7 linked regions of the Callithrix jacchus genome follow. The protein of the gene in region 1 interacts with the protein of each later gene in a pairwise test. Links are inferred from orthologs where the notes say so. Each region holds a gene or a part of one and is shown in the gene's direction. Other genes may lie near its edges.

What was found.
Region 2: the proteins of USP2 (region 1) and LHX4 interact in binary tests that used the Homo sapiens proteins (3 or more experiments, as listed by UniProt). The two-hybrid records come from large-scale screens. The link is inferred for Callithrix jacchus from reciprocal best matches to the Homo sapiens genes USP2 and LHX4.
Region 3: the proteins of USP2 (region 1) and VPS52 interact in binary tests that used the Homo sapiens proteins (3 or more experiments, as listed by UniProt). The two-hybrid records come from large-scale screens. The link is inferred for Callithrix jacchus from reciprocal best matches to the Homo sapiens genes USP2 and VPS52.
Region 4: the proteins of USP2 (region 1) and GOLGA2 interact in binary tests that used the Homo sapiens proteins (3 or more experiments, as listed by UniProt). The two-hybrid records come from large-scale screens. The link is inferred for Callithrix jacchus from reciprocal best matches to the Homo sapiens genes USP2 and GOLGA2.
Region 5: the proteins of USP2 (region 1) and NEFL interact in binary tests that used the Homo sapiens proteins (3 or more experiments, as listed by UniProt). The two-hybrid records come from large-scale screens. The link is inferred for Callithrix jacchus from reciprocal best matches to the Homo sapiens genes USP2 and NEFL.
Region 6: the proteins of USP2 (region 1) and DTX3 interact in binary tests that used the Homo sapiens proteins (3 or more experiments, as listed by UniProt). The link is inferred for Callithrix jacchus from reciprocal best matches to the Homo sapiens genes USP2 and DTX3.
Region 7: the proteins of USP2 (region 1) and HOMER3 interact in binary tests that used the Homo sapiens proteins (3 or more experiments, as listed by UniProt). The two-hybrid records come from large-scale screens. The link is inferred for Callithrix jacchus from reciprocal best matches to the Homo sapiens genes USP2 and HOMER3.

Annotation. Positions count from the first base shown.
Region 1 is NC_133511.1:19,006,506-19,009,565, reverse strand, and holds the end of USP2 (ubiquitin carboxyl-terminal hydrolase 2), read left to right. Parts: intron 1-166; coding exon 167-274; intron 275-432; coding exon 433-553; intron 554-777; coding exon 778-865; 3' UTR 866-2,560; downstream 2,561-3,060. UniProt on the Homo sapiens protein: Hydrolase that deubiquitinates polyubiquitinated target proteins such as MDM2, MDM4 and CCND1. Isoform 1 and isoform 4 possess both ubiquitin-specific peptidase and isopeptidase activities.
Region 2 is NC_133519.1:23,121,052-23,124,551, reverse strand, and holds part of LHX4 (LIM/homeobox protein Lhx4), read left to right. Parts: intron 1-182; coding exon 183-577; 3' UTR 578-3,500. UniProt on the Homo sapiens protein: May play a critical role in the development of respiratory control mechanisms and in the normal growth and maturation of the lung. Binds preferentially to methylated DNA.
Region 3 is NC_133505.1:41,493,327-41,495,570, reverse strand, and holds the end of VPS52 (vacuolar protein sorting-associated protein 52 homolog), read left to right. Parts: intron 1-115; coding exon 116-227; intron 228-459; coding exon 460-578; intron 579-1,047; coding exon 1,048-1,194; 3' UTR 1,195-1,744; downstream 1,745-2,244. UniProt on the Homo sapiens protein: Acts as a component of the GARP complex that is involved in retrograde transport from early and late endosomes to the trans-Golgi network (TGN).
Region 4 is NC_133502.1:176,875,508-176,879,007, reverse strand, and holds part of GOLGA2 (golgin subfamily A member 2), read left to right. Parts: intron 1-1,704; coding exon 1,705-1,809; intron 1,810-2,062; coding exon 2,063-2,106; intron 2,107-2,225; coding exon 2,226-2,289; intron 2,290-2,711; coding exon 2,712-2,771; intron 2,772-2,954; coding exon 2,955-3,035; intron 3,036-3,500. UniProt on the Homo sapiens protein: Peripheral membrane component of the cis-Golgi stack that acts as a membrane skeleton that maintains the structure of the Golgi apparatus, and as a vesicle thether that facilitates vesicle fusion to the Golgi membrane.
Region 5 is NC_133514.1:16,529,667-16,533,820, forward strand, and holds the start of NEFL (neurofilament light polypeptide), read left to right. Parts: upstream 1-1,354; 5' UTR 1,355-1,454; coding exon 1,455-2,501; intron 2,502-3,615; coding exon 3,616-3,740; intron 3,741-4,130; coding exon 4,131-4,154. UniProt on the Homo sapiens protein: Neurofilaments usually contain three intermediate filament proteins: NEFL, NEFM, and NEFH which are involved in the maintenance of neuronal caliber.
Region 6 is NC_133510.1:62,088,591-62,091,368, reverse strand, and holds the end of DTX3 (putative E3 ubiquitin-protein ligase DTX3), read left to right. Parts: intron 1-1,014; coding exon 1,015-1,232; intron 1,233-1,572; coding exon 1,573-1,648; 3' UTR 1,649-2,278; downstream 2,279-2,778. Other genes in the region: ARHGEF25 (rho guanine nucleotide exchange factor 25), read left to right, coding at 2,701-2,778. UniProt on the Homo sapiens protein: Regulator of Notch signaling, a signaling pathway involved in cell-cell communications that regulates a broad spectrum of cell-fate determinations.
Region 7 is NC_133523.1:17,630,848-17,634,991, reverse strand, and holds the start of HOMER3 (homer protein homolog 3), read left to right. Parts: upstream 1-1,344; 5' UTR 1,345-2,282; intron 2,283-3,550; 5' UTR 3,551-3,618; coding exon 3,619-3,632; intron 3,633-3,715; coding exon 3,716-3,872; intron 3,873-4,112; coding exon 4,113-4,144. UniProt on the Homo sapiens protein: Postsynaptic density scaffolding protein. Binds and cross-links cytoplasmic regions of GRM1, GRM5, ITPR1, DNM3, RYR1, RYR2, SHANK1 and SHANK3.

The DNA of each region.
Region 1 (3,060 bases):
ATCCTTAAGATCCATCGGGGCTGGGACATGACTTTCAAGGGTGACTGATGTCAAGGGGCCAATAGGTGAGGGGAACAGAGCCATAGGAAATGGACCGTGTAGGCTTTCCTTTTGCTGTCTGCTCTTCTGCGTTGGTTTGACTCTCCTTGACTCAAGCCAATGCCAGATTTGAAGCGGTTCTCAGAATCCAGGATCCGCACCAGCAAGCTCACAACATTCGTGAACTTCCCCCTTAGAGACCTGGACTTAAGAGAATTTGCCTCAGAAAACACCAGTGAGTAGCTCTGAGTAGGCAAGGCAGAATGAAGACGCAGGTGTGCAGGCCAGAAGGAGGGGAGCGCCAGCGAGCTGCTGCCAGACCACGCGGGAGAGGCTAGAGGGAGGGGGTGGGGGCAGGGGGCCTCAGGGGCTTGACGGCTGCCTCTTTCTCAGACCATGCTGTTTACAACCTGTACGCTGTGTCCAATCACTCTGGAACCACCATGGGCGGCCACTATACAGCCTACTGTCGCAGTCCAGGGACAGGCGAGTGGCACACTTTCAACGACTCCAGGTGAGAGCCAGGGCTGGGCCGGGCCCCTGACTGTAGCCACCCGACCCCCCCCTCCCCCGCACGGCTTCCACCAGAATGGACGGGGAAGTTCAGGGCCACGAAGCCGCTGCCCGTGGGGAGGCTCCCTGAAAGCAAGGCCGGCTTCGGGGGCACGGCTGAAGAGGCCAGCGCGGGGTCTCCGGGTCCTGCCCCCTCTCCGGGCTGACTCCTCATTCTCTCCGCAGCGTCACTCCCATGTCCTCCAGCCAGGTGCGCACCAGCGACGCCTACCTGCTCTTCTACGAACTGGCCAGCCCTCCCTCCCGAATGTAGCGCCAGGAGCCACGTCCCTTCTCCCTTCCCCGTGGTGGCCCCGCTCCCTGAGTTTTGTAAAAAGACAAAAACAACAACAACAAAAAAGAAAACACAAGCCTGACAAGAGAAAAACAAACCTGAAGCTGCCGAGCCGGAGAGGATGCAGCCTGGTCGGGGTCTGGAGCAAGGAGCCGGGCGCTCCTGAGCCATGGCCCGGCAGGGAAGATCGCCTGGATGTGGAGTCAGCGTCGCCCCGTGCCCTCGGCGTCTCCGTTTGCATCTGTAAGCCTGTGGTCTTCCTGTGTGTCAGAAACAACCGCGTCTGTGGGGAGAAGACCCTCGCTGCCCCGCTGCCCGCCGCAGCGCCCGCGCCTCCCGGGGGACAGCGCCCTCTGGAGCCCGATGGGAGCATCGCCGCCTGGACGCCCGCGCCGCGGAGGAGCCGGCGCCCATTTCCACCCGCACCGCTTGCCCGTCCAGAGCCGAAAAACACCCTTGAGCCAAGAGCCCTCTTCACGCTGCTAACTCCGGGGGACAGACGAAGGGACATTTTTGGAAAACGCTGGTTTTGGTTTTTAAAAAGCCCAACTTTTTTTTATTTCCGTAACTAAAGTGTTGAGACTGGAATGCTCTCCTTCAGGCCTCTTCACAGCTGGGGGACATTGCACTCGTCTTTTTTTTTTTTTTTTTTTCCTCTCTCTCTCTCCAAGTCCTACTTTTTTAATCTAGCCCCCATGGTGCTAAGCGGGCGTTGGCCAGGCCCCAAGCACAACCACAGTAGACCTGGGATCTAAAACAAGTTTCTGTTTTGGGGGTTGGGGGGGTTTGTTTTGGTTTTTGTTTTTGTTTTTTTTTTAATGTTTTGAATGGAATGTAGTTGCCTCCAAGAATTGTGCCTTATAGCATTTGGGGACCAGGGGGTAACTGCCCCTCCCTGAAATATCCCTCAGCCTCTTCCCTTTTCCCCAGTGCTGTGTTCAAACCCGCCGGGAGAGGGGTCCTGCCCTTAGCCCCGGCTGGCTGTGCATTGCACTGACTCGAAGAGGAAAGCAGGTAGAAGGAGATCCCTTCCCACAGTGCATCACGTCCTCTAACCCGCCCCTGGTCTGCTCCCCAGCTGTTTGAAGGATAGCACAAGCCCCCCATCCCTAGAGCTTCTCTCTCCTTTTATTTATTCTCTTAATATCCCTTTCCCCTGGCCTTCCTGCCCCACCCCCTTCTCAGAGCCTCCTAGACATAGCCCCTTTGGACCGAGTTTCTCAGGGATGCCCAGGCTGCCCATCAGCTCCTCTTGGCATTGGTCTTCAGCCCTGCAGTGGGAGCTGGAGCCTGGGTATTTGGGGACATCTTGCCTCAGTGGTATGGTTCCTTCCCGTGGGCTCAATTTTGCCCTACATAGTTGGACAAAACTCTGTGCTGTCCTAGAGAGTAAAGCTGTTCAGCGCCAAGGACTGAAGCACTGTGTACCTGTGCACACCCACACAGCTGGGCCCAGCTTGTGCCCCGCAGAGCCTGGCACGTTCCAGGCTTCCAGGAGGAGGCATCAGAGAAAGATAACCTAAGTTTTACTGGCCTGACAACCTTCTACAGGGAAGACCTGTGAACCTGAGCCCAAGGGCAAGTGTACACTTGTTTACTGTGTAAGCAAGAGTAGAAGAATGTCTAATGTACAGTGGAAGCTTGTACAGAATAAATAATAGCTTTGAGAAATCAGTCAGAAGATCTTGGGATCTTGATTTGGGAGTGTTTGAACCTAGGAAGGGCTCCTAGTATATTAGGGACCATCTATTTCAATGCTTCAGCCAATTTGGAAATTCCAAGTTTCTGGAAAAAGTTACCCACTTTTTAGTTTAAACATTTCAGTTATATTTTTGTTTAAACAGTACACATTTTGGACACTGTATTCTCATCTGGATTCACCAATTGTTGACTCTACATACACATTTAAATATACAACCATCCCCCAGTATACACAGGGAGATTGGTTCCAAGATATGCCAAAATCTGCACCATACCATACTCAAGTCCCAAGGTCAGCCCTGGAGAACCTGCATATATTACAATCAACCTTCTACGTACATGGGTTTCGCATCTCACAAAAGCACAAAATCCTTGTTTGGTTGAAAAACATCCATGTGAAAGTGGACCCACACAGTTCAAGCCACATTGTTCAAAGGTCAACTGTATTCTCTGCTGAAACATGCACGGGTCAG
Region 2 (3,500 bases), on another chromosome or scaffold:
CTTGACCTGGGTTGGCCTCTGGATGTCAGGCTGCCATATCGGTGTGTCTGACCCGTGCTTGGCTGCAAGGCTGCTGCCATCCTCGGGTATCTTCCTGGTCACGTGTATTCCTAGGTTGTGAAGAGCAGGGGACCATCGGAGTCCTGGTAGCTGACAATAAATCTCCGTTCTTTTGTCCACAGAGGATCAGATTCTCTCAGAACTTGGCCACACCAATAGGATTTATGGCAACGTGGGGGACGTTACAGGCGGACAGTTAATGAATGGGAGCTTCTCCATGGACGGGACAGGACAATCCTATCAGGACTTGAGGGATGGGAGCCCCTATGGAATCCCCCAGTCTCCATCCTCCATATCGTCCCTGCCATCCCACGCTCCTTTGCTCAATGGGCTGGATTACACGGTGGACAGTAATTTGGGCATCATTGCGCATGCAGGGCAGGGAGTAAGCCAGACGCTGAGAACCATGGCTGGGGGACCCACCTCTGACATCTCCACAGGAAGCAGTGTAGGCTATCCCGACTTTCCAACTAGCCCAGCCTCTTGGCTCGATGAAATGGATCATCCTCCTTTTTAACCTTCTCTCCTCCCCACCTTACCTGTCTTCCTGGCTTGAGAGAATATCTTCAAGGATCAAGAGAGACTTGCCTTTTAAGGATCGAAAGTACGTCAATGTGAATTTCCATTATTTTCAATGGAAGTCCTCAGCTGATTCCTAGAAGGCTGTGAGATCACACTAGGGCACTGTTTTCCTGGGGAAGCAGCGGGAGAGCAGCCTTATCTCAGAACACAGTACAGGGGGTAATGGCCTAGAGCTCTAGGGACGCTGGCTTGTTGGGTCTCTCCCCTCCTGTTCTGCTTATGGGCTTGGCTGCTCAGTGCTTTGGTAGCACAAGATGACTGTGATAGGCCCCCCTGGCCTTTGGGAACTTTGCTTCAACTGGTGTGTTTCACGCAATGCCTCCCAAAACACTGCTTCACCAGAACTGAGATTCCTGAGGTAGAGGCCTCACAGCCCTTGAGTAAAATAGAAGTGATTTCTGGACTACCCTTATTGAACCCTATATCTCAAAATGAAAAGGTCAGTTATTAAAGGTCAGTGAACACTTTGACGGCCACAGTTTGATATTAAAAACACGCCCCCCCTTTTTTCCTGTGAAAATATGAATTCTTTCCTACAAAGCAGAGAATATGAGTTCGTTTTGGTTTTAAGTCCCATATGTATTGCTGACTCTGATGGCAAGAGGTGTTTTTCATTGCAGGTGACTGAGGCTGAGCTGAGTAGCTCTGGGGCACCGCTGCAGTCTGCCTGATGAGTCCCCTGGGTGCACAGTGTGCCTTCTTCATTTGCTTGTTTTATTCCACGAGACAGGCTGTGGGCTACAAAATGAGCAAAACTAAAATGTGGGGAGAACAGAATGACAATCAGTGAACATTTGTAGACACATTTGGATTCCACACCTGCAGTCTGTTCAGTCGTACCAGCAAATGCCAGCCTTCCAGAGTCACCCATTCTTGTGAGGTGAAATATTTGGAGTCTGCTTTGAGGGAGTTGTTTAGATGAGCTTGCAAGTCTACCGCTGTCCCCTTAATAATGAAAGCTTTCTCTGCTGTCCTGGCTGACTCAATTGGACGACAGTTTTGGTCGTTTCCAGGAACCAGCAATGGTTTTTTGGCCTATGTTGGTTGGGAAGAATCACTTGGGGAGCAGCCTAAAATCGTCTAAAGGGTTCTGAGTGGTCCTTGGGCTGATCTCTCTGGCTTGCTGGCTGGACACCTGCCATGCTTTGGGCTGCAGTCCCATGGTCAGAAAGCCAGAGCTCTCTAGCCAGTGGTAGTGCAGGGACTCCCTGTTGTGCAGGTTTGCAGTAGCACATCACTAAGCCTGAGGCCAGGGCAAGGCCAACCTCTGCTTTACCAGTTGCCACTTCTGCGACAGTGCACTGCTGTGGGAAACACTGTTCTGAATGGTGCTTCAGCTCCCTCCGTGTGCACCCATCTGCCATCAGGAAGCTCTCCATTTGCAAAGTGGAATTTATGCCTGTCCCTCTGGAAAGCTGTGATTTGCTTCTTCTGGACTCCCGTTCTCTTAAATGAGATCAGCAGAGTGGAAAAGGGTGAGAAGGCATTGCCTTTCTATCACATGAAGTGATGGGGCTAGAGACCCTAAGGACCCTTCCTTCTGTGAATGGTTGGTCATCTTTTGAGGACTGCACAGATTTAGGCATGTCATAGGCAGACTAAAGGAAGAATACACAGTTCCTCTCGGGCTGCTGCATCTTTTGTAAGCCCCTTCCCAGGACAAAACTGAGTTCATTTAAACTTCTTTCAAACAGTAAACTCTGGGATCAGCCTTCGGGCCACCTCTTCTCTGACCAATTTTATGGTGTACCCTTGTTTTTCTGTGTGTGGCAGTGGTCATGATTTTTGCTTGAGGAGTCTGCAAATGTAGACGCTTTCCTTGAGGTTCCATGTTTATGGATGATGGTGTGTTAAGCCTAGCCAATTTTGTGCTATTGGGAATTCGTCAATCATGAACATTGGGGTGGGAAGGAAGACACAAATGCAAGATAACAAGCCATGTGAGGAAAAGAAAATGCAATTGTCTTTTTGGAGGATGGCTTTTAAAATATACATCTTAGCAGGCTGCTCAAAATACACAGGAGAAAAGGCTCTGCTGGGCAGTGAACCAGCTGAAAAGCTGCACACCCAGATCACTGTTGCAGGTTGACTGTTTGGCTGACTAAACTCATGGATTTCAGGGGCACTTGATGTTTTTGGTGAGTACAGCGTGGGGGAGAGCAGGCTCTTTAGAGAGGGGAATCCTCCTCTGTAGCACTGTTTAAGATCACCGTTAGTTCATCAGTTTTTGTTTCTGTAAGTTAATCATACTCATTCCCAGTTCAATAGTGGAAGAAGGAGAGGCCTTACTCATTTATACTAATATAATAAATCTCTTGAGGAACTCAGTGAACAGTTAACGAGATCAAGAGTTCTTTGGCATCAGTAGGGCTGGGTAGCTGGAAGAACGCTTGAGAGCACTGGCCTGAAAACAAGGAGAGCTTTGTTTTCCAGAGCCACCTCTCCAGAATGCAACAAACATTGTGGCCTGTTTAGAAGCACAGTCACCGTAGGTCTAAGATTTTTGCAGGTGGAGTTAGCATTATGGGTGGGCCGGTGCCACTAATGAGCCACTACATGACAAGACTGTTCCTTGGCTCTTCTGGACTTTGGAAATGGAGAAGAGCAGGGCATTCATTACCTTTAGCTTCTCTTGGAGGCACTCCTCTGTTGCTTGAAAGTTCTATTATGGGGTATAACGTGCTACATGGTAGCTGTTTTCCCCTTGCTAAAATGTATGGATGAATTTTCAAAATGACATGAGACCTTCTAGAGGCATTCACAATATTTTGACCTGTCTTTGGCTTTAAGACAGCAATTAACTAGCAACCATTATCTGCAGTGCGTGGCTGGCCAATTTTAGAGTAGGAAGCTCTTGA
Region 3 (2,244 bases), on another chromosome or scaffold:
GGATTTACAGCAGCTGAAAGATGCCATTGACACGGATCTGCATTAGTCTGATGCCCGAATTGAGCAAAGCTGCTGATACCAGGACACCTGTGTATATGTATTTGTGTCTTTCCAGGAATTCATTGAAGAGTTGCTGTCTCCCCCTTTTGGGGGTCTGGTAGCATTTGTGAAGGAGGCTGAGGCTTTGATTGAGCGTGGACAGGCTGAGCGACTTCGAGGGGAAGAAGGTATGAGGAAAATGTGGTAATGGTGGGATCAGTGATAAGGGAAATGGAAAAGAAAAAGGAAAGGATACAGATTACTTGGGGGGGGCGGTGCAGAGTATGAAAGACTGGATCGAGAGAATCCAGAAAAGAGGGGTTTGATGGTAAGGATGGCTGTACCTTGGGGAGAACGTAGTGCAGTTGAAGATCAGCCAGCCAGATCCCTCTCTGACATTCCCTTTCCTCCTGCTATCAGCCCGGGTAACTCAGCTGATCCGTGGCTTTGGTAGTTCCTGGAAATCATCGGTGGAATCTCTGAGTCAGGATGTAATGCGGAGTTTCACCAACTTCAGAAATGGAACCAGTATCATTCAGGTGACCTACAAGTCCCAGCCCCCACTCACATCCCCCATTATTTATTGTTTTCTTACATCTTTTTGCTGGGCTTAGCATCATCTAAGTGACCCATCAGCTACTAGCTGTGCCCAAAGTTCTGGTTGAGCCCTAACCTGATTTTTTGTGTGTGTGCAGTGGCACAGTCTCAGCTCACTGCAGCCTCCACCTCCTGGGTTCAAGCCATTGTCCTGCCTCAGCCTCCTGAATAGCTGGGATTACAGGCACCTGCCACCACGCCCAGCTAATTTTTGTATTTTTAGTAGAGACAGGGTGTCACTGTGTTGGCCAGGCTGGTCTCAAACTCCTGACCTCGTGATCTGCCCACCTCGGCCCCAAAGTGCTGAGATTGCAAATGTGAGCCACCGTGCCCAGCCGCCTAAACTGATTCTTAATAATCACTGTCACCACCACTTTACAATCTGGTCCCTCAATGACTTTCTTTGACCAGGGAGCACTGACCCAGCTGATCCAGCTTTATCATCGCTTCCACCGGGTGCTGTCCCAGCCGCAACTCCGAGCCCTTCCTGCCCGGGCAGAGCTCATCAACATTCACCACCTTATGGTGGAGCTCAAGAAACATAAACCCAACTTCTGATGTGCTGAAACCGCCCTGAGATCTGCCAGTCATCTCCATGGACTTCTGCACCCCCATTCCATATCCTTCTTCACTTGGGGTCCCCCTTCCAGTTTTCCCCTTGCCTCCCAGGCCTTTTACATGGCTTACCTGCCTTCCCTCCCAGCACCTTGCTCAACAGGATAAGCTGGATCCCCTTGGCCTTCTGAATCTCCCAGTGTCTTCATATTTCCCAAGACCACTTCCCTGTGGGCTTCCAAAATGGCCTTTACCATTTCCCCAGTCTGTCACCCTCCTGCTCGCATACACCCAAGCTCTTTCTTCCCCTGTGAAAACCACTGCCTCAATCTCTGGTTCACTCAACTCTTGTCACTGTGTTCTGAGGCATGAAGCCTCAACTCTTGGAATTACTGGCAAGGGGTGACTGCCTCTAAGTCATTGTTTTATTCAAAGTGATTTCTGTAGCTTTTTGACCTAAGGTCTCAGCAATTTGAACACTAACCCCTCCCCTCCTGGCTCAAGAATTACTCCCAAGACAGTCTGCAGAAAATAAATATTTAATATGACATAACACTCTTCTCCCATTTATTTTCTCTGTCCTCCTGAAGGCCTTCAGGTGGCCCCATCTCTTCTCTAGAGCCACCTTTCTTTTCTGACTACTTCCTGGGCTTACCCCCTTCTGGTGAGTGTAACCTTTAACTTCTAGCTACTTCCAGGCCAGAGGAAGTAGGTGACCCCTGGTTAAAATGGCAGATGCTGCAAGGGCTGAGAACCAGGCTACAGCCCCAGACACTGTCCTGAGGACTCCCCTGGGACAATCCCAAGCTGACTCTGGAATTGCCTCCGCTTTCTCCGTAGCAGCTCCCGCAGCTCCTCTGATTGTGACTGTCACAGCCCCTTGCTCAAGGGCTGCACCACCCAACCCACACCCACACCGTTGGAGCAGGGATAGACCAGGCGAAATTTATCCATCTCATACATTTCTGTTTGACTTGGAGCCTTCCTGCTGCCCTCGTCTTACGCCTCATTTGAACTTAGGCTCTAGACTGGAGAGACACGATGACCCCTTTA
Region 4 (3,500 bases), on another chromosome or scaffold:
GAATCTCGAACCCAGGAGGTGGAGGTTGCAGTGAGCGGAGATCTCGCCACTGCACTCCAGCCTGGGCGACAGAGCAATACTCCATCTCAAACAAAAAGAAGAAAGAAAACTTCCCCTCCTCTGAACATTGTTGTGTCTAATCCTAGAGATCAGTGGGAACCCAAGATGCCAGGAGGGACCTAAAGCCTACATGGCTAGGAATGCCAGCCTTCCCCAAAGGCTCATGCCTGGCCAGTGCTGAACCCCTGCTCTGACCTATTAGATTCAGTTCTAGACATTTTCAGGGCAACACCAGATTCCATGGTCACAGTAAACTTGCAAAGATGCAAAGACAACTTGGCTCATCTTCAATTCTGCCAGCCTCTGCAGCACTTGCTCTAAGGAAGGAAGCAGATTCGGGTTTTCAGAGATCAGGGCTGAAGGGTCCAGTGAGCAGGCAGTCCTTTCCCTAGAGAGAGGTATAGCCACTTCCCCCAGACCCAGCTTCCCTGGCCAGGCCTTGGCTCCCTGTTGTTTCTCTCTTGTCAAGCTTTGCTGGTCAGCAGCTTTTTCCATTGTCTGCCCATCTGGCCTGTCGGATATTAGATCTCTAGAGCCAGAGGCTTGGGCCAGGAGTAAAGCCAGAGCCTGGAGAGAGGCTAGGTGGGTCTTGGTCAAGCAGGTAGGTCCAGTTGGGGTGAAAGAAGAGGCTCCACATGACTCCAAGTCCTGAATCCTATAATTGTCCCCAGGTGCTATTCCCAGGAAAGAGGCCCCACAACTTCCAAGTTGCCAAGAGCCATAGGGCAGATGTCTTACCTCTGTTTTCTTGGGTGGTTTCTTGGTTGGGTAGATGCTTTTGGAGGTAAGAGGTCAGGGTGGGGGTGGTGGCCATGGTTTATTCTCTTTTTACCTCCAGAGAGTGGGGAGAGGCTTGTATTCTAATTGGGACACTTTTTTTTTCCTGAAAAGCCTGAATTAGAAACACAGCCAATAGGCCAGGTGCAGTGGCTCACACTTGTAATCCCAACACTTTGGGATAGCAAGGTGGGAGGATCACTTGAGTCCAGGACTTTGAGACCAGCCTGGGCAAGATGGTGAGACTGTGTCTGTAAAAATTAGCTGAGCATGGTGGTGTGTGCCTCTAATCTCAGCTACTAGGGAGGCTGAGGTGGGAGGATTGCTTGAGCACAGGAGGTGGAAGCTGCAGTGAGCTATGATTGTGCCACCACCGGGGAGAAGGGAAGGGAGGCAAGGAGGAGAGAGGCAGATAGCTACATTGGGCATTGCCCAGACAACTACTTCCTCATCACCATCCTCTGCCCAGCAGGGTCCCAGTTAGTGTCACTCTGCAGCACAGACTGGCCTTCTGGTAGAACACTGCCTTTCTTCTCCCTGACTTTGGCACACCTTCCTCCCACCTGCTGTGGCTTTCACAGGTCAGAGCCTGCTGCTGTCTTTTGCTGAGCTCCAGGGAGAGTGAGGTCCTTGTGTTTGTGAAGGGGGCCGTGCAGCCCCTGCTTTGAGCTTTGACCATTTGAAGTGCTGTCTAGCAGCCCAAGGCCTGGGCAACCATATACACACCCCTGAGTGGCTCCTAGCATGCGTGACTGTCACTCTAACTGCAGCAACACCCATCCTACCTGTTCCATACCCTGTGTTCATGGCACTGAGGCACCTTCTCTCCCACATGGTCCCCTAACCCCCTGCTCTGTTCTATGACAGACACCCAAGGACAATGCTGCTTCTCTACAACCATCTGATGACACCGTGTTACCTGGCGGTGTCCCTTCCCCTGGTGCCAGTCTCACTAGCATGGTGGCACCTCAGGTTCGTGCCTCCTCCCCCTCTGCCCCCTGCCCTCCTGTACCTAGTATGGATCTCTTCTCTTACAGGTAGCTTGTTCCCTAGGGCCAACAGCTCTTCCTAGGGACCGGGCTGGGGGAAGGCTCAGACTAGGCTTTTCTTTGAGGTCTGGGGAGATGGAAGATTATTGGAATGAGTTTGGGAGCTTGTCTCACCCCATCCTGGGTGATTCTTACCAGAAATTGAATGACCATCTCATATGTTTCTTCCCACACAGAATCATGATGCTGACAACGTCCCTAATCTTATGGATGAAACCAAGTGAGTGTCTCCTATTGGGGCAGCAGTCTCTAGGTGGAGAGAGTCAGGGAGGCCACTGCCCATGACCTTCTTTCCCATTGAACCACCTGTACCCCTGACCCCTGTGTCTCCATTCCTAGGACTTTCTCATCAACTGAGAGCCTGCGACAACTCTCCCAACAGCTCAACGGTCTTGTTTGTGAGGTACCTCAGAAGTTGAGGCCCAGAGTGGGGTGTAGGGGGGAGGAAAGTATGACAGAAAAAAACCGAAGCAGGGATTCATGAGAGAGGGAAGATCCTGGGACCAGCTGATTTTCTGGGCAATGTTGAGGGAGTCACCTCTTCCCTGAGCTTTCTCCCTTGAAGCTGTACACATGAAGGGGTTGGAGCCTGTGACTGGTTGCATCATTTTATCCTGCTGCAGCACTGGATGAGAGGTGCTCGGGAGGGAAGGTTGGTGGGGAAATAAGAACCATGAGAGAAGTTGGCACAAAAGGGTTTACAGGACAAAGGGTCCAAGTTAGGCAGAAAAGAGAATGTTGCCAGATGAGGGGGAAGAAAGGAAGTCAGAGGGCTTAGACACTGGGAGGGCAGAACATCTCCATGTGCATTCCCGTCTCTTATAGTCTACAACATGTGTCAATGGGGAGGGCCTGGCATCATCTGCTAACCTGAAAGACCTGGAGGTAAGAGGCCCTGGGCCGTGGCTCAGTGACCCTGCAGGCCAGCCCTCCAACCTCCTCCCACAGCGAGGGCTGGGTGCCCCTCTGCCAGCTGAGACAGCCCACACACCCCCCAACCCTAATGATTGCTCTCTCTACCTCTCCCCCCAATCCTCCTCCAACTCCTCCTCTCTGCATGCGCCTCAGAGCCGGTACCAACAGCTAGCGGTAGCCCTGGACTCCAGCTATGTAACAAACAAACAACTCAATGTCACGATAGAGAAATTGGTAAGAGTCCAGTGGGGTCCCCTGATTCCACGCTGCCAATCCTGGGCTCCAGTTTCCCATTGGGGCCCTGAAGAAAGGGGCAGGGGGCCCCTGGTGCCAAGGGCGAATGGGGAGCTGGGGGGCCCAGGCCTCAGCTGGAGGGACCCCAGAGCACGGAGCATGCAGCATGGCTCTTCTGTTGCTGCCCTTTTTGCCTACTCTCTCTTCTCTAGACACCCCTGCTCGAGTCCTTGCCACACACGCCCTGGGGTTGTTGCCTCTCAAGCAGGTGCTAGCCCCATATTTCCATTTTGACTCAGTCCTTAATTTGTTCTTTGATTCTGGACAAGCCACTTCTCCTCCTTGGGCTTGCATTTCCTGAGGAGGTAGAGTTAGAGAGTATCAAAAGTCTCTTAGCTCTGAGAGTCCAAGATTTAAAGTCCCACTAGAATGTAAACCTCAGGGCCAAGGGCTCCTATCTGTCTT
Region 5 (4,154 bases), on another chromosome or scaffold:
CGTAAATCTCTGCAATCCCTCCATGAAACCGTGGGGACTCCTAACATCGCGCGTGTGAAAATACCCTGCAAACCGCAGGGGCTGTGTCCACGTGCGCTACGGCGTGCGCCAGTTTCAGGTATCTGGGTGCTTCCTGAAGGAAACCCATGGATTCCTGACTGCATCTGCTTTCGGGTAATTACAGTGTATCGTGGGAAGAATCACGCGGCTATTTTCTATCCGTTCCTAAAGAAGTCTGGGTGCCGAGTTCTCCTCCCCGGAGACCACGCCCAGCGCTCCCGGCTGTCCTCAACGGCTTCCCTGAAAATCAACCACTTGCAAGGCTTGTTGAAATCATCAGGTTGTGTGCTACACATGTGTAAAAAGAGGGAAGCGGGCGGTAAATGTGCTGCGATTGGTGGTATCAAGCAGGAATTTAGTTTGGTGAGGATCCAGGCAGCTTGAAGCTAGCTCCCCGCTGCCTAGCGCGCAGCGGCCTCAGCAAGTCAGTCTCCGTGTTAGTTTCCAACTCATTCTCTGCTCTTCGCCACCCACACACTGCAACACGTTAAAAGCATCCGCGGCTTCTTCATTCCCAGTAAAGAAATGTGAAAATCTAGAAACACTAACAGTCGGATCAACTGCTTTAAAGGTTTGGAAATGCTAAACCAACACCTGCAGTAGTGCCGCAGTTTCACGTGTGTGTGTGTGTGTGTGTGTGTGTGCGCGCGCGCGCGTCCGCACATTCCCTGTGTGTTGAGAAGCAGCACATTAAAGAAAAAGAAAAATAACGAGGAAAAAGGAAGATGAATTGCAGAAAGTGCCAGAAATAGCTATAAAGAAATTAAAACTCTTCTCCATACATACCGCAGACACACAACCTAACCTATTTATTTGTACCTAAAATCCCCTAGCGGCACCGTCACCATAAACACCAAGGGGGATCGTTAAAGAGGTCCCTGGTGGGAAAAGGGCGAGTTGGGGGCGGGGGCGGCAGGGTGTCCACGAGGTGCCGGGATACGGAAAACTAGGGTGTCAAAAGAGAGCAATAACCTGTTTTGGGGACACTTAAGGATCCAAGTGATAAGGGGTCTGGGCGGTGCAGGATGGTGGGGGGTGCGTGGGTGGATACAGAAGGGAAATGAGTGAGGGTGCATGGAATCTCAGAGAAAATCAAGGGCCTCTGAGCAGAGTGTAAAGGACGAGCGCCGCAGCTCCCCTGCCCGCCGCTCGCCCCCGCCTTCCCTTTTGCGCAGAATCCTCGCCTTGGCTGCAGCAGCGCGCTGCCCCCACCGGCCGGCGCGCCGCGATCGATCGCAGGCTGCGTCAGGATCCTCCCGGCGTATAAATAGGGGTGGCAGGACGGCGCCGAGCCGCACACAGCCATCCATCCTTCCCCTTCCCTCACTCCCCTGTCCTTCTCTCTCTCCAGGCTCCCGCCGCCGCCGCGGGCTGGGGAGCCACCGGCCGCCACCATGAGTTCCTTCAGCTTCGAGCCGTACTACTCGACCTCCTACAAGCGGCGCTACGTGGAGACGCCCCGGGTGCACATCTCCAGCGTGCGCAGCGGCTACAGCACCGCGCGCTCCGCTTACTCCAGCTACTCGGCGCCGGTTTCTTCCTCGCTGTCCGTGCGCCGCAGCTACTCGTCCAGCTCCGGCTCGTTGATGCACAGCCTGGAGAACCTCGATCTGAGCCAGGTAGCCGCCATCAGCAACGACCTCAAGTCGATCCGCACGCAGGAGAAGGCGCAGCTCCAGGACCTCAACGACCGCTTCGCCAGCTTCATCGAGCGCGTGCATGAGCTGGAGCAGCAGAACAAGGTCCTGGAAGCGGAGCTGCTGGTGCTGCGCCAGAAGCACTCGGAGCCGTCCCGCTTCCGGGCGCTGTACGAGCAGGAGATCCGCGACCTGCGCCTGGCGGCGGAAGACGCCACCAACGAGAAGCAGGCGCTCCAGGGAGAGCGCGAAGGACTCGAGGAGACCCTACGCAACCTGCAGGCGCGCTATGAAGAGGAGGTGCTGAGCCGCGAGGACGCCGAGGGCAGGCTGATGGAAGCGCGCAAAGGCGCTGACGAGGCGGCGCTTGCCCGCGCGGAGCTCGAAAAGCGCATCGACAGCCTGATGGACGAAATCGCTTTTCTGAAGAAAGTGCACGAAGAGGAGATCGCCGAGCTGCAAGCGCAGATCCAGTACGCGCAGATCTCCGTGGAGATGGACGTGTCCACCAAGCCCGACCTCTCCGCCGCGCTCAAGGACATCCGCGCTCAGTACGAGAAGCTGGCAGCCAAGAACATGCAGAACGCCGAGGAGTGGTTCAAGAGCCGCTTCACCGTCCTGACCGAGAGCGCCGCCAAGAACACCGACGCCGTGCGCGCCGCCAAGGACGAGGTGTCCGAGAGCCGCCGCCTGCTCAAGGCCAAGACCCTGGAGATCGAAGCATGCCGGGGCATGAACGAAGCGCTGGAGAAGCAGCTGCAGGAGCTGGAGGACAAGCAAAACGCAGACATCAGCGCTATGCAGGTGCGGCACCGCCCGAAACACAGGGGGGCGGAGGACTAGAGCACGGGGGAGAGTTGGTGCGCCCAGAAAGTGGGGACCAGGGGTGGTGCGGCTGCTGGCAGCTCTTGGGGATAAGGCTTGGCTCTTGGGCGCCTGTGTGGGCGGGGTGGGGCACTTGGAGGGCGTGAGCAAGGGCGCCACTGTAGTCTGGGAATGTGCTCCGTGCAGCTGCACCCGAGTTCCGCATTAAAGCTGCCCAGCCCGTGTTGGGTGGGGGAGGGGAAGATGTGGGAACTGGGCGTTGCCTGGGGCCTGCGGTGAAATTTCCTCTCTACTGACCTGTATTAACCACCAGTTACTTCGCAGCAAATATCAGATCATCTGGTTAATAAATAGTAGAGTGAATAACTCCCAATTAATTCTGAAAGGTTACGGTGACAAGCATGCTTTATGACTAGTTATACCAACCACTCCCTTCCTTTATTTAGTAGGTAGACAGGAAAATAGTTAACGTTGTTTTAGGCAGTTAACTAGGATGTTCATTTCTTTTTACTCTTTTCTTTTTCTTTGTGCAACATTTCTATTTAAAACATCTCCATCTTCTGGGAAGTAGAAAAAGTAAAATTTTAAAAAGATCTCTATTTTAAAAGATCCCCATCTTCTGGGGAGTAGAATTTTTTTTTTCTTCTGGGGAATAGAAAAATGATTTAGATACATAGGAAATATTTTAGAGAGAATAATTTTTTTCTCGTCTGGCTATTTTCTTCTGTACAGAAAGGCATTAGTTTCTTGGCATGTAACCCAGCTAAAGAAGATTTAATCAGTGGGTGAGAAACAGTTTTTCTATCATCTTAGTTTCCTTGCAGGCATTTTCTGATGATCATTAAGCTGTATTAAGTAAAGAAATAGAAGAAAAGAATTTTCTTCCATTTTGTTTGTCATCTCAGGCTTCATGAACTTGGCTATTTTAGGCAAGAAGGTTTTTAAAAAAATACAGGAAATTATTCTAGGGGAGATTTTATCAAAGGTGTGCACCTCGATTTTAATTGAAACTAGGCCTTTACAACTACACTACAGTAAAGTAATAGAAGATATTTATGCTTGGATATATTTTTTTTTTTTTGTCTTCAAACAGGACACGATCAACAAATTAGAAAATGAATTGAGGACCACAAAGAGTGAAATGGCACGATACCTAAAAGAATACCAAGACCTCCTCAATGTGAAGATGGCTTTGGATATTGAGATTGCAGCTTACAGGTGAAAATAGAGGGGCAGAGACAGCAGCCATTAAACCTTAGGAAGAAAATCAGATCCCAATTAAAGTTATGTTGGATCAGAAACCTTCAAGAATAGTCCTTTGAAATAATGAAATGTTAGTTTTTTGCTTCTTCCAAGAAGGTATTTAGATATATAAGAATTTAACCCTGTAATTAGGAGTCTTGTTTTTAGCTTCCCATTACCTTTTAAATCTGACAGGACGATTTCATGTGTTCCTGTTGTTGGTTTCTGGTCTCCATCACAAAATCCCCAGGCATTAAGTTTTGATAAATCCCAGCCCTGCTCCTGCTTCCCTTAGCCTTTAGGGTGCTCAGAGCAAGTTGTGAAACACAGGTTTCTTTTAACCTCACCTTCCATCTGCATCCCCAGGAAACTCTTGGAAGGCGAGGAGAC
Region 6 (2,778 bases), on another chromosome or scaffold:
CATCAGATATGAGAGAAAGAAATTACATATTATTTCCTTGGTGAACATAAATACTATGGTGACATTTGGCAGACGTAAATTCTGTGGAGGTGGTGGCTTAGGGGCAGGCAGGCACAATAGGAAGGGATCTGACAACCCAACAGAGCCAGGAGCATCTCTCTGTGTCAGATGTATGAGAGCAAAACCTTGATGCCAGTGGAAGGTTAAAACAGGAGTGGTCAAGGGCCTATAGGTGTCTTCCTGCTGGACAAAGAGTAATGTGGAATTCTGGGTGCAGAGGGGTAAAGAAGCTGCACAGAGTCCGGGCGCGGTGGCTCACGCCTGTAATCCCAGCACTTTGGGAGGCCAAGGCAGGTGGATCACAGGTCAAGAGATAGAGACCATCCTGGTCAACATGGTGAAACCCCGTCTCTACTAAAAACACAAAAAATTAGCTGGGCATGGTGGTGCATGCCTGTAATCCCAACTACTCAGGAGACTGAGGCAGGAGAATTGCCTGAACCCAGGAGGCAGAAGTTGCCATGAGCCGAGATTGTGCCATTGCACTCCAGCCTGGGTAACAAGAATAAAACTCCATCTCAAAAAAAAAAAGAAGCTGCACAGAAGAGTAATGGAAGATGGAACAGGTTAGACAGTGGCAGAAATATTAGGAGTATTTTCAGGTGAAGGGAAGGCTAAAAGATAGATTATTCTGTCTTCATATTTCTGCTGAGTTGTCTGGAGTGCAGGGACCAGCCACCTTCCATCACTTCTGAGAATCCATTTGTTGCTGAATGGATTGTTGCTGAGGGATTGAGACAGCAGAAAAAAACCTCTTAACACATAAAGATTATGCTCTGAAACAGGCTCTGACTGCCCAGGCCCTATAATCTCTCCTTTGGAAAGCTGTCAGCCTGTTACTGCCCTGTTCGCATTAGCTGGGGGTGCTAAGACAGAGGCTGGCCGCCTCCATTGACATCTGGGTCTTGGGATGGCTGGCTGCTCACTGCCCACTCTGCTTCACCTTCCTCCCAGGCTGAACACCCAAACCCAGGAGTTCGGTATCCTGGCACCACACGGGTGGCCTACCTCCCGGACTGCCCTGAGGGCAACAAGGTGCTGACCCTGTTCCGCAAGGCGTTTGACCAGCGTCTCACCTTCACTATCGGCACATCCATGACCACAGGGAGACCGAATGTCATCACCTGGAACGACATCCACCACAAGACCAGCTGCACAGGGGGACCCCAGCTGTGCGACCCCTCTTCACTACCTTTCCCTTGGCTCCTCCCCTTTGCTCAGTTTCCACTGAGGGAACCACCAACCCCCTTGCTCTGGGATCCTCCTAACTGGAGAGGACCACTTCCAAACTGTTCAGCCATCTCAGTTTCTCCTTCATTCAACCTGGCCCTGATGTGCCCAGCTTAACCTACAAAAATAAGCAGAATTGGGCTAAGTTATCTTGGGTTTGGAGGTGTACCCCTTAGGGGAGGTGGGGAGGTGTTTTGAGCCACCTAGAATGAGGGTAAGCATGGGGATAATAGCAAGTTCAAACAGCTGACAACCCTCACCCTCATTTCTCTTTGCTCCCAGGTTTGGGTACCCGGACCCCACCTACCTGACCCGGGTGCAAGAGGAGCTGAGAGCCAAGGGTATCACAGATGACTGAAGGACATCCCCTTTGCCTAGGCCCCTGCTGTCCACCTCTACTAGGACCCAGCAGAAGCCTCTGTTCTACTCTCTGCCCCCTGCCCCCACACCACACCTGTAGGGGACCTGTCTAATTGGGAAGGGAGTTCAGAGAGGGAGGGGGGCAATCCCTTCCCCCCAGTCCTCCACTGGCCAAGTGTTTCAGTGCAGTGTGAGCCACTCCCTTCTGGCAGAGGCCGACCTCCAAGGCCCTGTTCCCTGCTCCCTGTGTACATATACACCCAGTTTCCCTGCCCCTCCATTGCCCTTGGCTTTTTCTGGTATGTGCTGTGCTCCATGACCAAGCTGTGAAAGGACCTAGGGTGGGGAAGGGAGGGTCTGTTGATCTCCCATCACCCCCACTTATTGCTCCACTGCTGAACTTGGGGTGCAGGGAAGGAGGAATTGGGCTGATGTGAGCTCCCCGCCACCCTCCATGGAGCCAGTTCTCCCTCAACCTTGTCCTTTCTCGCCTGTGTCTCAGTCTCTGTTAGTCTGTCTTTCTCCGCTCTTCTCTGACCCCTATGAGGAACCTCCTTACCCTGTTCTGGAATCGCTGCCAGACTGTAGCTTTTAATTTAATAAAAATAAAGTAAAATATGCAACTCTTTATGCCACACCCGTTATTTTCCAGGGACTGGGTGGGGTGGGGTGGGGTGGGGAGCGGGACCTGCTGGAAAGGGGGAGGGGTACTGAGGCGATCCTGCTTGCCCTCCCAGTCCCCCCAGCCTCCTGAGGACCTGTGGAAACGGGATGCACCAGCGGGTTCTGTAGCAACACTGTGAAGCCCTGGGTCGCACTTCGATGTTGGAATTAGGATTAAGAGGGTTTTGTTGTTGTTGTGCAACTATGGTTGTAGAGAAAAGAACAACCCTACCCCCTTTGCGAAGTTTGGCTGGGGTGGGAGTGGGGGCGGAGCCGGGCAGGGGGTGGATTCCGCAGCAGCAACTCCCCGGACGCGCGCAGGCCTCAAAGCCCCCCCAGCTTCCGTGCCCCTCGACCCTGAAACTTGGAGCAGGGTAGGGGTTCAGTATGAAGCCCCCGGGCCGCCCCGCCCCTGGCCGCACTGACCGGATACTGGGGGTTATGGGGGGCATGCTGCGCGCATGC
Region 7 (4,144 bases), on another chromosome or scaffold:
AAAAAAGTGAGGAGGGAGGGAGGGAGAGAGAGAGAGAGAGAGAGAGAGAGAGAGAGATAGAGAGAGACAGAGCCGGGCACGGTGGCTCACACCTGTAATCCCATTGCTTTGGGAGGCCGAGGTGGGCGGATCACCTGAAGTCAGGAGTTCAAGACCAGCCTGACCAACATGGTGAAACCCCGTCTTTAAAAATAAATAAATAATTAATTAAAAAAGAAAGAAAAGAAAAAGAGAGAGAGGGAGGGAGGGAGGGAAAGAAAGGAAAAAAGAGAGAGAGAGAAAGGAAGGAATGAAGGAAGAAAGAGAAAGAAAGAAAGAGACTCAAATGCAAGGCTCAGAGCTGTAGGGCGCCACAGCCCTTGGTTCCAGGGAGCTGCAGGGACTTTGCCCACAAACCGACGGTAATGTGCGGTTTTGGAGAAGGTGCCAGAGATAGGGCAGCACCAGGATTGACAAGTTCCACCCATGGGCTTGGGGCTGGGGAGATGGATCCCACCTCAGCTCTGGAAGGATGCTTTCCTGGCAAGTGTGGGAAGGGGATGCTCCTTGTGACCAGAGGTGACAAAGGGGACACACCCATGCGTTGGAGACATTCCCTAAGCCTTTGGATCTTGGGACCCACAAACTAGCAATGATAACCTTAATCCAACCATCATGGGCATTTTACCATTGTCTTGGGAAGGACAGAGGTGGACAGATGTCCCTGCCCAGGGATGGAGCTGGCAGAACAGACAGGAAGGCTTCTCTCTCTTTGTCTTGCTTCCTGTTCCCTCCCGAAGCCGATCTCTTCCGTTTCCTGGCAACACCCATTGAGCACCTACTGTATGCAAACAGTACATACAGTGCATACAGTAGGTGCTCAATGGGTGTTGCCAGGAAACGAGAGCCCCGTGGCCAGAAGGGACCCACCGCCCCCTCTGCAACCTCACTGAACCACCCACGTCAGCCCGGGAGGGACCTGACCTTCCTCATGGGCCCAAAGTCATGACCTCAGGTAGTGGGGACAGAGGCAGCTGTCCCCTGAGACGTGACAGGAGGGTGAGGTCACATCGCCGTCCCTGCAACTGTATCTCTACATCTGCTTCCTGTCTCTTTGCCTGTCTCCGCCGTGTCTCTTTCTGGGTCTCTTTCTCATCCCAGATGTCCCTCTCCTCTGTCTCTCTGTCCCCACCCTCTGTTCCCAGTCCCGAACCCCCGCAACGCCCCAGTCCCCCTCCACCGCCCTTAGCCCCCTCCCCCAATCCCCCGCCCCTCCCCCCACCTGGCCCGGTGCAAAAAGCCGGCAGGGGGCGCAGCGGGGCGGCCTCGGCGGCCCCGGGAGGCGGGGCGGGCGGCGGCCGCGTCGGGACCCGCCGCGATGGGACCGGAGGCGGCGCGGGCGGCGGCGGCGGCGCAGACAAAGACGCGGGCGGCGCGGAGGGCGGCGCGGAGGGCGCGGGCCCGGGAGCCAGGGAGCGAGCGGGGCGCCCGGCTGCGCGGAGTCAGCGCCGCGGGGGCCGCACCCGACTTGCGACCGAACACTCGCTGGGCGCCGACCCGGCAGGGTGAGCCCGGCCGGCCGAGACTGCGCCGCGAGCGCGGGGGCCTCGAAGTCGCGGGGCCAAGGGAAGGGCGCGGGGGGTCCCCAGAAGTTCCGGACCTGGGGACTGGGAGCGGCGCGAGGGGCCCCCAAGTTCCAGGGCCGGAGGGAGCGCAGGGGTCCCGAAGTTCTGGAGTCGGGGTCGGTGAGGGGACCGCGCGGGAGGTTCCCAAAGTTCTGGACCCGGCGTTGGAGGAGGCTGCGAAGGAGTCCCCAAAGTTTCGGACCTGGGGTGGGAGCCAGGCGCGGGAGGGGCCCCGACGTCCGGGACCAGGGACTGGAAGGGTGGCAGGGGGTCCACCTCGAAGTTTAGGAGTCTGGGACAACGAGGGGGTCCCCAAAGTTCCGGACCGGGTTAGAGGGGGCGGCACGGAGGGCAGTCCCCGGAGTTCCGGACCTGGGGTTGGAGGAGGCAGAAGAGGTATCCCCGAAGTTCTGTACCCAGCGACGGGGCTGTCGCGGGAATCTCGGAAGTTCCAGGGTCAGGGCGCGCGTCCCGGAGTTGGGTCGCGCACTGGGTGTCCTCCCGCCTCGGGTGGGGACTGGATCCTGAATGAATATTGGCCCCCTCCCCGCCTCCGGAGTGGGGTGCATGGGACGGGGCCTCACCCACCGGCCAGATTGGGGATCCCGGGCACCGGGCGGTGTCGGACCCCCCTTCGGGAGCCCCGTGGCCGGCGGCATCCGAGCGCATGACTAGTTGGTGAGTAACTTTCCCCAAACGCTGCAAGTCGCAGCAGGAGCGGCCGGACCGGAAGGGCCTGGGTTCCGGGGACCCCTGCGTCCCCCAACTCCCACCTGGCGCAGGACCTACCTCCGGTCCAGGCCAGAGCTCCCGCCCCACCCCCACTCAGGGGCTCCAGTTTCAGACCCTGTGACCGGCGCAGCAGCTGCCCAGGACAGGATGGGGGGGCATACCCCCTTTGACCATAGAGGCTGCTGGGCTGGGGCCTCCCCGCCTATCTTCCCCCTCCCCCAAATCCTTCCTTGGTCCCCTGCACATCCGGGTGGCTGGATGGACCAATGGGGAGGTTGGGGAGCCCTGTTCTCCCAGTGGTGGCATTGGGATTGGCATTCTGCTCTGCTCCCTGTGATGGGCACTGGGATTGGCTGTTTGGCTACATCTTGTCTTTTTAACTTGGCTGGGGGCTGCCTGGGGATTTGGAGTCTGGGCTGCCAGGTGTGCCTCTAGCCTAGGGTGGGAGCTGGGGGGGTCCCTCTGCAGGGCGCAGTGGGGAACTGGTCTCCCAGTACTACACACCTCTCAATGCCCCATTTTTGATGGAGAACCTCTCTCTGGCCGGTCATGGGTGAATGGAAAGAACTCAGCAGATATGTGGCCTTCACAGCTCAGCCCAGGATGGAGGGGGCTTCACGGGGCGAGGTGGGGGGTGCCGTAACTAGGACGATGAGAGATTTACATCTGAATGTCAACAGCAGCCACCTGGCTCCTCTCAGAGGGCCATCTCCTGTACAGGGTGTGGTGAGGGCTTCCCCCAGACAAAGAAAGATGGGGTCCACTTGCTCTGAGTGATCTATAATGATAATCTGGCCTTTTCATTTCTTTCTATCATTTCTTTGTTTTGTGGAGACAGGGTCTTGCTCTCTTGCCCAGGCTGGAGTGCAGTGGTGCTATCATGGCTCACTGCACTGCGGCCTTGACCTCCTGGGCTCAAGCGATCCTCCCACCTCAGCCTCCCCAGTAGCTGGGACCACAGGCACATGCCACCACACCTGGCTAATTGTTTAAATTTTGGGTAGGGGTGGGGTCTCACCATGATGCTCAGGCTGGTCTCGAACTCCTGGGCTCAAATGATCCTCCTGACTCAGCCTCCCAAAGCACACCCAGTGCTTTGGGCCTCTCTTGCCTTTTTGATGGAAAGTTCTGTGATAATGGGTCCTGAGCTGGAACCTGCTTGGCTTCCCTCAACCTGGCCTGAGGGACACTCATAGTCCCTCCTCTCTCCCTAGGGGCCAAACCAGCGGCTCCTGCCACCTCTCTGGCTGCCCCCTAGAGCCTGCCCAGCCCCGCCTGACCAATGTCCACAGCCAGGTGAGCTCCCACCTCCCCAGCCTGGACCTGAGCTTTCTAAGGGGGCATGTCCGGCCCCTACTGATCACCCTCTCCCCACACAGGGAGCAGCCAATCTTCAGTACACGGGCGCACGTGTTCCAAATTGACCCGGCCACCAAGCGAAACTGGATCCCGGCGGGCAAGCATGCACTCACGGTCTCCTATTTCTACGATGCCACCCGAAATGTCTACCGCATCATCAGCATTGGGGGCGCCAAGGTCCGGGTGGGGTCTAGGTGGGGCAGAGGCACCAGGGGTCCTGGTGACACGCGTGGGTCTGGTGGCTGGCTTGCTGTGTGCCCAAGGGATGGGAAACTCTGAGCCTTCCGGGGCCCTAGTCTGTCCCCTGAAATGGCTCAGAGTAAAGACTTTCCAGAGGCTAATACAAGGTGATACCTGGGGGTTTCATGTCTCGTACTATCCGTCCCATCAACCTTGAACTTTGTCCCCCAACCCCAGGCAATCATCAACAGCACTGTCACTCCAAACAT